Macaca mulatta: one gene and its partners. The protein of the gene in region 3 binds, or shares a complex with, the protein of the main gene of each other region. Links are inferred from orthologs where the notes say so. Each region holds a gene or a part of one and is shown on either strand. Other genes may lie near its edges. The genes, in order: SPTSSA, ORMDL3 and SPTLC1.

What was found.
Region 1: SPTLC1 (region 3) and SPTSSA share a complex: the UniProt entries of both Homo sapiens proteins name them as parts of the serine palmitoyltransferase (SPT) complex. The link is inferred for Macaca mulatta from reciprocal best matches to the Homo sapiens genes SPTLC1 and SPTSSA.
Region 2: the proteins of SPTLC1 (region 3) and ORMDL3 are in contact, whole or in part, in a cryo-EM structure (PDB 7K0N), measured with the Homo sapiens proteins. The link is inferred for Macaca mulatta from reciprocal best matches to the Homo sapiens genes SPTLC1 and ORMDL3. Residues at the interface, in NP_006406.1 of Homo sapiens: Ala16, Leu17, Ala20, Pro21, Tyr23, His24, Leu27, Glu28, Leu31, Ile32, Trp34, Ile35, Leu38, Leu39, Ser41, Lys42, Thr43, Tyr44, Lys45, Leu46, Gln47; in NP_001307730.1 of Homo sapiens: Gly92, Val93, Gln94, Phe95, Thr96, Ala97, Lys100, Thr103, Ile104, Ile107, Tyr110, Phe111, Ser114, Tyr119, Gln121, Phe124, Thr128, Leu131, Met132, Leu139, Pro140, His143.

The regions. Positions count from the first base shown.
Region 1 is NC_133412.1:107,570,948-107,575,179, reverse strand, and holds the start of SPTSSA (serine palmitoyltransferase small subunit A), read left to right. Parts: upstream 1-1,391; 5' UTR 1,392-1,539; coding exon 1,540-1,651; intron 1,652-4,232. UniProt on the Homo sapiens protein: Component of the serine palmitoyltransferase multisubunit enzyme (SPT) that catalyzes the initial and rate-limiting step in sphingolipid biosynthesis by condensing L-serine and activated acyl-CoA (most commonly palmitoyl-CoA) to form long-chain bases.
Region 2 is NC_133421.1:64,277,731-64,282,217, forward strand, and holds the start of ORMDL3 (ORM1-like protein 3), read right to left. Parts: upstream 2,946-4,487; 5' UTR 2,819-2,945; intron 2,567-2,818; exon of another isoform or gene 2,403-2,566; coding exon of another isoform or gene 2,402-2,402; intron 2,324-2,401; exon of another isoform or gene 964-2,323; intron 714-963; exon of another isoform or gene 511-713; intron 156-510; exon of another isoform or gene 105-155; intron 1-104. UniProt on the Homo sapiens protein: Plays an essential role in the homeostatic regulation of sphingolipid de novo biosynthesis by modulating the activity of the serine palmitoyltransferase (SPT) in response to ceramide levels.
Region 3 is NC_133420.1:122,659,528-122,663,254, reverse strand, and holds part of SPTLC1 (serine palmitoyltransferase 1), read left to right. Parts: intron 1-1,882; coding exon 1,883-2,000; intron 2,001-3,727. UniProt on the Homo sapiens protein: Component of the serine palmitoyltransferase multisubunit enzyme (SPT) that catalyzes the initial and rate-limiting step in sphingolipid biosynthesis by condensing L-serine and activated acyl-CoA (most commonly palmitoyl-CoA) to form long-chain bases.

The DNA of each region.
Region 1 (4,232 bases), on a different chromosome or scaffold from region 3:
AGTCTATCTTGTTTGCTATCCCCAATGTCTGGCACTTGATATTACTTACTCTTTTCTTTCTTTCTTTTTTTCTCCTTCCTTCCTTCCTGCCTTCCTTCCTTCCTTCCTTCCTTCCTTCTCTTTCTTTCTCTCTCTCTCTCTTTCCTTTCTTTCCTTCCTTTCTTTTGCTCTGTCACCTAAGATGGAGTGCAGTGGTGCCATCCTGGCTCACTGCAACCTCGACCTCCTGTGCTCGAACAATCCTCCCGCCTCAACCTCGTGAGTAGCTGGGACTACAGGTGCAGGCCACTACCCCTGGCTAACTTTTTTTTTTTTTTTGTAGAGATGGAGTTTCACCATGTTGCTCAGGCTGGTCTCGACCTCCTGTACTCAAGAGATCCGCCAGCCTCAGCCTCCCAAAGTGCTTGGATTACAGTCATGAGCCACTGCGCTTGGCCGGCACTTGATACTTTTAAATAAATAGTTATTAACCGTGAAACTTTTAAAGTTTAAGCAATAGGCTGTTTAACCTGGAAGACTTTTAACATTTAAACAGCAGACCATTTAATTGTGGCATTTCACATGCTACACCAGTGTATGGAGCTCCTGGTGGCCAGTGCAATGTTGCTGACCCATTTGGCAGTGGGAAAATCCGGGCATCCAGGAGTGCATTTCTAGGAGGTATCTCCAGCCCTCACACCAATCTCAAACTGCCTGTCATCTGCAGAACCCACTAGATCAGCGCGCTTCTGGCCTTGACCCACTTGGTGGTTAACTACAGCCACTAAGAGGTGGGCAGATAGATACTTTTGGTAAGTGGTCTTTGGGTTAGGGAGTGCATGGGTTATGCCTGTCTAGATGGGTGTGTTTTTGTGTGTGTGCATGGGCGGGGGAAGGGAGGAAGGAGGCCGAATGTGCATCCCTTCTACAGGGACGCCTTTCCAGACCTCCTTATTAGATGGCGTTCACCTCCTCACCCTCTCTCAGTCCCTTATTCTCCTCTTACACCGATCACGACTTGATTAATGCCTGTCTCCCAGCTAGGCCGCCAGCTGCACGAGGTAAGGAACCGAAGGCATTTCGGTTCTCCCTGGCAATCCCCCTCCTCAGAAGGATGCCTGAGGCATAACAAGTGTTCCAGAAATATTTATTCCGCAACCGCTCTGGGCCAGTCTGGATGGACCCGGCGCCCGCTGGGCTGGGGGCCCCCGGCCGGCACTGACGCCCCGCCCACCACCGGCCGGCCCAGGCGGGGCGGGGCGCGGCCGGGCGCTCTCGCGGGGACCGTTCTCCGGCTCGCGTGGGCGATGCCCGGGCAGGGAAGCGGGAGGGGACGACGGGACGCGAGGTAGCGGCCTGGCCAATGAGCGCGGGTCGGGCGGGGCTCGGGGACGGCGGCCTGGGCGCGCGCCGGGCTGGGCGTGCCGCGGGTGACGGCGGGGCCGGGCGGGCCAATGGGCGCTGGGTGGCGGGCGGGCGGGCCTGGCTGCCGGGGGCTTTAGGACGTGAGCGGGCGGCCGGCCGGACAGACTTACGTGTGAGCTGCATCGCGGGAGGCGCATGGCGGGGATGGCGCTGGCGCGGGCCTGGAAGCAGATGTCCTGGTTCTACTACCAGTACCTGCTGGTCACGGCGCTCTACATGCTGGAGCCCTGGGAGCGGACGGTGTTCAGTATCCTGTCCGGGTCGCGGGCGCGGGGGCCGTGTTGGGGGCGCGGGCCGCGGGGCCGCAGCTCCCAGGCCCGGGGCCTGGGGTGGAGGTTGGAGCGGCGGCCCCGCGGGTCCTGTGCGCGGAAGCCGAGGAGTCGGGGGGCAGGGGGAGGTCTGGGGGCCTAGGGCCGGGCTTGCGGGGTTAAGTGGGAGGTGGGGGAGGCGAGAACTCTTGAGATCCGGAGTCACCCGTGAGTCGCTGGACCCAAGGAGGAAGCGTCTTGATTCCTGGAGAAAATCTCCGAGGGTGATGTGTAACCCAGTGTGTCGCCTGCACTTCGGCCGCGCCTGCCTTTGGTTCAGTCCCCTGTTCCTGTAGGAGGCGGGGATCATGTAACAGTGGAGTACATCGCTCCCGGCTTGGACGCCGTTGACCTTTAAGTGTTCCTGATGTAGTTGGCTTTGGGTCTACCAAGAATTCTAACCAGTTAACCAGCTTTTAAGCCAGATTCTGAATTTGTAGGCATGACACTCCAGTAGTTTTTGACAGCAGTTTAAGTTATTGTATCTTTTTGGTCTTCAAGGTGGGGAGTTTTAAAAGTATATTGCTTCTTTGCACCGTCCGTAGAAGTCGGCCTGAAAAGTGGTGCAATTTGCGGTTAGTTGTCGGTAGGGTTTGAAACTGTTGTGGTGGATAGTTAGTAAATTATTAATGACTGTTGAGTGGTTACTATAAGCAAAGCATTTGTGCAAAGCACATTTTCTGTATCTTAACTCATCTAACTTTGAGAACTTCAATTAATAACTCAGGATTGTGAAGATAGGCTCCCTGAAAGTCTGATGTTTCTTGTCTCTACTTGTCCATATTGACATCCTTTGATGATATTCTTGCAGATTGAATACTGATAATGAATGAGATGCAACTTTTTACAAACTCAGGCCAATACGAAACAGATATTTCGCAAAACATGTTTAGTTTATCCACGTTCTCTCCTTTTCAGTGTGGTTTAGTTGGAGTAGCTTACTTCAGAACAACTTTGCGAATGCATTGTTGCATTCCAGTGAGTGACTGAGGTAATTTCATTCCAAGCCTTATCAAGTGTGTTTGTTTTGAAATAGCTTAAGGTTGTACTCAAAGCTGAGTCTTTTGTTTCAGCACTTTTGAAGAATTTGAGATGCTTTCAAAGCAGTTTATTTATTAGGAATTTAAGAACCAGAATGCATATTTTGGATTTAGACACTGAAGATAGTTTGCTTTGATTTCCTGCACCATTTATTTGTAGCTGCACTTTAGTCTCACTCTTTAGGGCTCACAGGGCCATGCCTTGTAAAATACATACTTAAATGTATATTTAATAGAAGTCTCTCTGTAGAAGCAAGCGTATCTTGACTCACATAACACATCCTAAAATTAAACAATGCTGGGTTACATTGAAGCTCTTTAAATCAGAGATTGAATGTAGAGTGCACTATTAGAATATAGTATAGATTTTACACCTAAAAGCTTTTACACCTAAAATCTAATATAGATTTTACACACTAAAATGCTACAGTTATCAATGATGTTAAGATTTTTCTGTTATGTTGCAATAGTGATAGTATCCTATAAAGAACTAGGTGATGGCTTTTTTGGGGTATGGAGAAATAAATTATGAAATGAAATTCAGTGCCTTAGTAGATATTTGCCTTTAATGGTTTTGAGTTACCATTGGTTTAGCAACCAAGTAGTTTCAAATTTTTTTTTCAAATAGGTGACACCTGCAACCAACTGACATCCAGTATTATAGAACCTTATGATTTTAAACTTGAGATTAAAAAAAGTCTTATTTCAAATTTCATGTTATTGGGGTTAGAAATGCAATTATTTGACATAAGCCAGTCTTGAATTACTATCAGCTGTTATATTTATATTTTTCCACTTCAACTTCTAGAATCATTTAAAACTATCTGGTAGTTTGGAACATCAATTTGAGATTGAATCCTCGTTTTAGCTTGACGGAAGAACTGAATAAGAAAGCTGGATTTTTTTTCCCCCAACTTGTCAGGAGGCTTACTGTCAAGTACTTTGAATTTCATAAATCCATTAACGATTAGTAAGCTTCACCCAGAACTATTTGTGGCCAGCTACATGATGTTAAAGGAAAGAGGCATACTTTCTACAGCTTAAACATTACATTCAACTTAATCATCAATCCTAGAAACCTAAAATTTAGAGAAATTTGCCTCTGCCGGTCTGAAAATTGGTGTCTGTCTGAGTTAGAAGTCCTGAACAGAGTAAGACTTTAGATTGATTTCTTCTCTCTCTCTCTCTCTCTCTCTCTCTCTCTCTCTCTCTCTCTCTCTCTCTCTGTCTGTCTCTCTGTGTGTGTGTGTGTGTGTGTGTGTGATGGAGTTTTGCTCTTGTTGCCCAGGCTGGAGTGCAATGGCACGATCTCAGCGCACTGCAACCTCCGCCTCCCAGGTTCAAGTGATTCTCCTGCCTCAGCCTTCAGAATAGCCAGGATTACAGGTGCCTGCCGCCACGCCCGGCTAATTTTTGTATTTTTAGTAGAGATGGGGTTTCACCACATTGGCCAGGCTGGTCTTGAACTCCTAACCTCAGG
Region 2 (4,487 bases), on a different chromosome or scaffold from region 3:
GGGACATCCACTCTTAAGCCCTTCCCATCAGGAGGGAAAGAAGTGAGGCCTGTGGGTACAGGCAGCAGTGGACGAACTATTTTGAGGTCACTGCATCCACTCACCTCCTCTAATTTTTTCAATTCTGGATCTCCCCAAACCCCAACTTAGGAGGACTGATCAGGTACAAAGAGGGAAGTGGGGAGGGAGGAAGATAGAAGAAAACAACAGACTAGCGACAACCTTTGCCCGGACCTGGAAGGCACCCCTCCTGGGTGACACAAAATAACCCATCTGGATGTCTTCTCCATTTGGCAGCCACTCAGGCCAACCCTTGTGCTGCCACCCACTCCGCTGCCAAACCACCAGGGTCCTTTTCCCCACAAGAGAGGCGAGGATAGAGAATGTGGCCAACACCTATAACTCCCACAGAGCGCTGGAACCCACATCAACATATGTCTCCCAAGGGCACAGACTCGAACCTGTGGTCTTCCTCCTGGCCCCGTTCTTCTCTGTCCTGCCCATCCTCACCTCAGCCTCCCCTCTCAGCACCTGTTTCCAGGTGTACATTAGCACCATGCCTTCCCCTGCCCAGCACCAACGGTGGGAGTCCTGCAGCAGGAGGAGCCAGGAGGTGGCCGCAACCCACAGTGAGCAGAGGGAAGTAGAGAAGGAAGGGGTGGAATGATCTGCCCCTTGTCCAGAGCTTGGCTGTCCCCAGATCCCTGAGGGCCCTGTGACCAGGAGAAAGCGGAGACGGACGGCACCTGTGTACTGGCTCACCTCCCTATCTGAGGTAGGGTCCTGCTTGCTAAAGACCATAAGATCATCACCATGTTAACAGCCCCATCTTTCCTGGGAATGCAGAGAAGACTCCCAGATAGAGATATTCTAGAAGTACCCGGAAGGCCACCTGCCTCACGCCCCTGCAGCAACCCCCTCAGACCCACATGCTATCTACTTCTGACTAGGAACTAGCCAAACCTGCACAGGAGCCTGAATCCTCAGGGGCCAGTTCTTTACTTCCAGGATAAGAGGAGCAAGTTTCCTCTTCTCAGACAGCTCCAAGCTTAGAGACCTCAGGGCAAACGTGACCCACAACACACCATCCCAACAAGCAAACACCTGTGCGCCAGCCTGGGGCGCACTCTGATTGCAGTGATGCTCCTGGGACCCATCAGTGCAGCCCATGAGGCTGGATAATGGAGCCTAACAGAAATCCTAGCATCTAGAAAGCCAGAGCTGGCTCCCACTGTTTATCTTCCCAGGGCCTTGGGGCTTCAGCTACTCTAGCAGCCCCTGGGACAGCTACTACGCAAAAGCCTCCACCTGAGACGAGAGGGTGGCATGTGGCTGAGAAGTGAGGGCTCTGAAGGACTTACCTCTAAGGAGAGGGAAACAGCGTCCCAAGTCTGACCTGAAACCGCCACCCCATCACCTCTCTGTAACCCGCACCTACAGAGGTGCTGGTGTAGAAAGCCCACTAACCCTTCCTAGTAGTTGTCCAAGAGTGCCAAAAGCCTCGTGGAATCCCAGACCACAGGACCCCATACCCCTTTCTGGCTTTCACAGGGCAGCCAACAAAACTCGATGAGCCTAGGAAAAGACTAGACCTAGGTCCCAGCCGACACCCCCGAAAGCTTCTTCCTGAAGCCTAAACACTAGGTACCCTGAGAGCAGGAAACCACCAGACACCCCTGAAAAAGAAGAGATCAATAAACTAACAAAAAGACTGGCAGCCAGGAAACACTCTTGAGACTTTCGTGTGACTACGGGCACATATCACTTCCATTAGTAAACCAACCAACCGACCCCTCCCCTAGATGGGGAGAAACAGAGAGAAGAGGCTGGCACAGGTCGACTAGGTCTACAGGAGCTGAGCTAAAAACTTCTGCTGCCACAGCTGGCAGGTGGCTGCTTAGTGCCGGGCCCTGATGTGGTTTCATAACCTGCCTCAAACCAGAGCCTGCAGCAACTCTGTTCTGTTAACCACTTTTTTGCTGGTAGCTCTTTCCCCCTTCTTCCCTCCCCACCCGCTTGGCTCCACGCACAAATATTCGGGCCCAGCCAGTATGCCAGACACTCAAGCCAAGGCTGAGCACCACCAGGGCAGCCACCAGGTGAGCCCTTCCCATTCCCTCCCCCAGGAAAGAGCAGCCCTCACAACAGCAAACCCCCTGTCTTGGAAGAGGAGCACAAAACATCCGGGCCTGGATGGGGACCCCAAAGGGGAGTCCGCGGGAGCACGTCACGATGCCACTTCCATTCCGCCCACCCCCCAAGCTGCAGGACCACAGCTGATCACATCTCAACTTTGGCCCAGCCACCCCGACTGGGGGAGGGCGGTGGGAGCGGAAAGCGAGTGCCCAGGCGAACCCGCAGTAAGCAGAGGAGAGGAGGAGCGAAGAGGCGGAGTCCTCACTGTTGTTGGGGTTTTCTGAGTGAGACCTCGGGCGCGGGGCCGGGGGGAGGGGTCCCGCTCTGTTGCCCAGTCTGGGTCCTGGCACTCGGAACCCGGCCAGGTCCGGGACCCCACAGCCATCTCCACGCGTTCACCCAGCCCTGGAAGCAGCCAAACGTTTATCCCAGAAGCCCAGCCGCTCCCCGCCTCCCACCCCTAGCCGAGGCGCTCCTCCCGACGTTCCACCCCCAGCCTCCAGCTCGCACTTTATTCCTTGGCCACCTCCCCAGCCGCAGCACCCCCTCGGCTGATGCACTCCCTCCACCCCCCACTCCCTCTGCCCCCGTCTATCCAGCCCGGGGCGCCTCCCCAGCAGCTCCTACCTTCCCTCCCGCCCCTCCCCTAGCCCTGGGGCCTCCTGGTTCCGTCTGGGCTCACCGTGCGGGGCCGGATATCGAGGGCCCGGGAACGGTTCCCGGGAGCGGGGTCCGCTGCTGCTCCAGCAGCTGTAACAACCCGCGGCGGCAGCCTCCCCGCTGGCAGCTCCGGCCGAATCAGCGCTCCGCGCCGGCCCCCGCGACGTCACCGCCCCGCGCCGGCACGCCCGACGCCTCCTGGGAGTTGTAGTTTCCTCTGCTGGTTCCTGGCCGGCCCGCCCGACGCTCCTGGGAGTTGTAGTTTTTCCTGGGCTCCGTTCCCGGACTCTCCGGGGACGCGCTGTTGGAAGTTGCACCGTGACGTGGTCAGATCGGATGATAGAATTTTGGTGCGTAACAATTCCAACTTTTGCTCCTGTGCCCTTCAAGTGTATTTTATCTGTGCCCCAGTTTTGCAGATGAGGAGACTCGGACTTGTAAGTAACTTGCTGTAGGTCTTTGCTGGGTCCCAGACTGGATCGAAACCCAGATATTCTGACCCCAAGTACAGGGTTTTTCCACTGCACCTGGCTGCCTCCGCCCCGGCCCCAGATTGGCTCCTCCAGAAACAGACTAGCCTGGCCCTTTGCCCTGCTGGGCCCTCCTGGGAGCGAGTTTTTCACAACATTGGCTGGGGTGAGGGTCTGGAGGGCCCAGAACGGAGCCTGCCTTCTCCTTCTCAGTCACTCTTGGCCCAGGCTGCCGCGGACCGGGCCACTTCCTTGGCCTCCCTGCACCTGACGTGAGAAGAAGCCACGTATCATAGATTCCTTGATCAGTAGTAAGGAGCCTGAGTTTCTGTCTCAGGTCAGCTTTTGTGGCTTTGAATGAGAGGTTCTGGTCTACAGTTTTCACATCTGCATCGTCTAAAGGCAAGGGCACAGACTTTACTGCCTGGTAGACATAGGGCAGGCCCTCCTTTATTGGCAATGTGACCTTGGGCAAATTACTTGTCTTAATCTCCAATTCCACACCTGTGAAACCCCACCTCCAATGTTGTGGGAACCCAAAAAAATGTATGTAAAGCACCTGTTGCATTGTATGAATCTACTTAATATTACTTTAGGAGGTTGCTCTTGAGGTCTCCTCGGTGACTCCCATTCTCCATGTCACCAAGAGGCCTTGTCTGAGTAGTTTCAACTCCCTACCCAGCTTCTTTCTAAGTCCACTCTGTGCAGGGCAGGGCTGGAATATCAAGATCAGATGATGTCATGGCATGCCAACCTGACTCTGAATGGCAGTTCATGGCACCCTGAACTGAAAGTGAGGGAACATGAAGGAAAAGGCTAGCCCAGGGAAACTGGGGAGCACTTCACTCGGACTCCACCTACCCTTCCTTCCCCAGGGAGCTGCCAGGAAACAGTTGTCACACAGCTGGAGTGGGACCCCCAGAGACACTTGGTGGTCACCAGGCAGGTGGGTATTTGAACCACCCAGAGCAGAACAGGCAGCTTCTTGAATATTTCCAGGGCCAATGGCCCCAAAAGGGCTCATCCCAAGATCGAAATAATCACCCGAGTCTGAAATAGCTCTGCCTGTGTCCTATGGAAGTTTCTCCTGGTTTGTGGAGGTGCCTTTCCTTATAGGCATCTTTCTGCAGACATAAGCAAACCCAGTGTTGTTCTTTTCACAGAAACCTCCCCCGCATTAAGGCAAGAAAGGTGCCTGTTTTTTCCGAAGTGAGCCTGCTT
Region 3 (3,727 bases):
TGCCTCCAGGGTTCAAGCAATTCCCCTGCCTCAGCCTCCTGAGTAGCTGGGATTACAGGCGCCCACCACCACACCTGGCTAATTTTTGTATTTTTAGTAGAGACAGGGTTTTACCATGTTGGCCAGGCTGGTCTCGAACTCCTGACCTCTGGTGATCCACCTGCCTCAGCCTCCCAAAGGGCTGAGATTACAGTCATGAGCCACCACACCTGGCTGAAAGCAATTTTTTAATACTCTGAGAATATATGACCTTAAAAAAAAAAAAAGATACTTCATGTATGTGTTTAACATGGTCAGAATTTACACAGGAAATGGGTTTTGAAAGTGTATTGCTTAGTTTCTACATTAGTAAAGAACTAACCTAGGAGGTTCCCTCACATTCCACATCCTCAAGATTCCATGATTCAGACCTGTAGGCTGCTTTATTGAGAGATCTAGCATGATGTATTATATTTAAGGGAAGGAGATGCTAATTAATAATGTTCCAAGGGTGATTGGAAGGCCAGGTCAGATGAGTTTCCAGAATTCACATTATTGTAACATGCAGTAGTCATTCTGTAAAGGTTTGTCGAGTCCTAAACTGGGAAGATTCAGTTGTGCTACCTAGTGCTTTTTGTTGTTATTTCATTCTGAGGGAAAAACAAATCATTTTAGGTGAAACAAACTAAATGAAAGGATCTAAAATGTTTAGCCCAGTTTCAAATAGACATGTATCACATTTGTGTCCTAGGAGGTAGGTCAAAACTCAAATAATATTTGTTATCATAGGATAAAATAGACTTTAAGTGAACCTGACTGGATATTAATAATGTGGCATAGCATCTCCTGACAGCTATAATACAAATACAGGATTTAATTTAATTTAATTTAAAAATACAGGATTTGGCCCCTAAAGATCTGTCTTTGAGAAGCTACAGATTTTTGTGCTGTTAATCCTAAGTGAAAACAAAATAATTTTAATCCAAGTAAAATCTAAAACATAACATGCAAATAAGGACATTTTTCTATCTAAACATATTGCTATTAGTCAAAATATAATGTATGTTTGGTTTTTGTTGGGGTTTTTTTTTTTTTTTTTTTTTTTGAGACAGGGTTTTACTCTGTCACCCAAGCTGGAGTATAATGGCACAATCTCAGCTCACTGCAACCTTGACCTCCTGAGTTCAAGCGATCCTCCCACCTGAGCTTCCCAAGTAGCTGGGACTACAGGTGCAAGCCACTACACCTGGCCCATTTTTGTATTTTCGTTTTTGTTTTGTTTGTAGAGATGGGGCATAATGTTGTTAATGTTAGAAATCATCCCTGTAATTAATGAGAAACAAAATAAAAACTAAAGACATAGATAATAAGGAAGCATAACATAAACTGTAGTGAGTAGCTTGTGAAGGATCCAGACAGGATGAAAAATAGCAAATGATGGAGCAGAGCCTTCCCTAAAGTGGGTGATGAAGAAGGCCCCAGCAGCAGGCAGTGCTGGAGCTGGGCCCCAGCATGTGCAGCCAGCACAGGGAAGAACAAACATCAGGGGCGAGGGAGCCCATGGCAAGGGAATGACAGACCAAGCTGGGGCCCAGAGGGCCTATAAGGAGGGGCGCCCAGGCGGGAGTACGGTGCACAGACTCCCTGTTGGGAGGCTGGGGCCATGAGACCCAGTCCTGCACTCAGGAAGCCACATCACAGGCAAACTTTTTTAGAGGAGGAAGCACCGCCAGGGTGCCTCGCTTCGCTTTCTTTGTTGGAATTGGAATAATGCTTCCCGTCAGTCGCAAGCTTCTGTACATTCACTGTGCCTTGACATTGTGGACTTCTAACATTATTTCTCCGTGAGTGATCTTGGAGCCTGGAAGGAACTTATGGCTGTGTGTGTGTTTCCTTTCTTCAGGATTTCTGGATTAAAAGTGGTGGGGGAGTCCCTTTCTCCAGCCTTTCACCTGCAACTGGAAGAGAGCACTGGGTCTCGCGAGCAAGATGTCAGACTGCTTCAGGAAATTGTAGATCAAGTAAGTATCCATTTACTTGAGGAAATCCCCCCACACCACTTCTGCCCTTGCCCCAAGCAATTTTTTAATGTTATTTTTTAAGAAAAGTCTGTTGACCTGAGAGAAGAGAGTAGAAAGGAAGATGCTGGTGACCCACTCTGGACATGGAATCTTAATCCTCCAGGTCCTTCCTAGCTTCTGGCCATGGTAACGGGCAGCAGGCCCTCCCATTGGGTCAGTATGTGGCTCCCTCCAAAGTTATTCTGTTTTGTACCACTTTGCATTTAAATATACTTGGCCTCTCCTCTGAAAAATTAGCCTTGCAGAAAACTCACTTGCTCACCGTTTTACAAAGCCAGGCTTTCCTATGTGTAGTTGGGGGAGGCATTGTGTGTGGGCATCGCACACATTCCTGGACTGCTGACTGTCCCCACAGCACAGCTCAGGGACAGTCCACTCGCAGTCACCCTGAAGTTAGGATGCTCTTGTATCTTCCAAAAGTTATTTCACTACTAATTGTCTAAGAAACACATCACCAGGGAAACCACTTGCCCATTTTCATCTGGCAGCACTGCCCCTCCAGAGTGCTTCCTGCCCTGGGCACACGGGTTTACAGTGGTGCAGGGACAACAGAAGTTTCTTTAAAAGGGGGAGGAAGAACAGCGGAGTAACCTAAGCAGGAAGGACTCAGGAGGGGCAGTGGAATGCCACCCACCCTGCTCCCCTCTTCCAAGTCCTGGGATGCTGGACATCTGCTTTCAGAAGGATCTGGACTTTTATGTGGGCTGCTGCTGCTGCTGCTTTTAGAAAAGTCTGACATATACCTAGTATGTATTTGAGAATGCAAATGGGCATGATTCTGCTTCCCTGTCCAGAGGCTGTAGCTATGAGCGATGCTACCAGGTTTCTGGGGTCATAATGGCAGTTACCACCTATCATGTGCCTTTCTGAGGCCAGGCCCTGTCCTAAGCCTCATCTGCCTATACAGCTTCTCAGGCAGGCTCTTCTAGGCCACGTGGCTGTGCAGTATACAGACCGGGCGTGCGGGCAGCCTCTGCTGCCTACCTGGCTTCAGCTGTCCTGTGTCCCAAATGTTTGAGCCACATAATCTGGAATAACAGATTTGTGGAGAACTTCATAAAATTTGTGGCCTTCTAGAGTCAGTTACATTAACAAAAACATAAAACAAGCCCCAGGATCTGAGCTTCTAAAGAAACGTGTCAGATTATGAATGATCAGGCTGGAGCTGCTTATCTTGTGAGGTGAGGAAATGCAGCTGCTGTCCCCTCAGGAATACCTCTGTGGACATGAAGACTCTCTCGACAGGGAAAACATCCCACTGCCTGCTTTACTACCTCATTGTTTGTGACGTTCCTTAAATACATACAAACACAAAACTAAGCATGACGTGTTTGTGATTAGAGTTCTCATACAAATGGAAAACCAAAACAAATGTATAAATTAAATACATACTAAATGGACAAGCCAGTAAAATTCCCATTCATTTCGTTACCTTCATGAGGCAGGTGAATTTGTTGTTTTCAATAGACTTGCCCCAGCGGGACAGCTGAGAGCTGTGTTCGCAGAGCAGGCTCATGAGCTGCACACGCCAGTGTTGGGTCTGAGTGATGGCTCCGCCGTTCTCACTGAGTCTCTTCTCGAACTGCATCGGGACAGTTGTCCACACATGCTTCATGATGAGGGACAGTCGCCTCCTTCAGATGCCAGTGTATTCATTGCATAGTAAA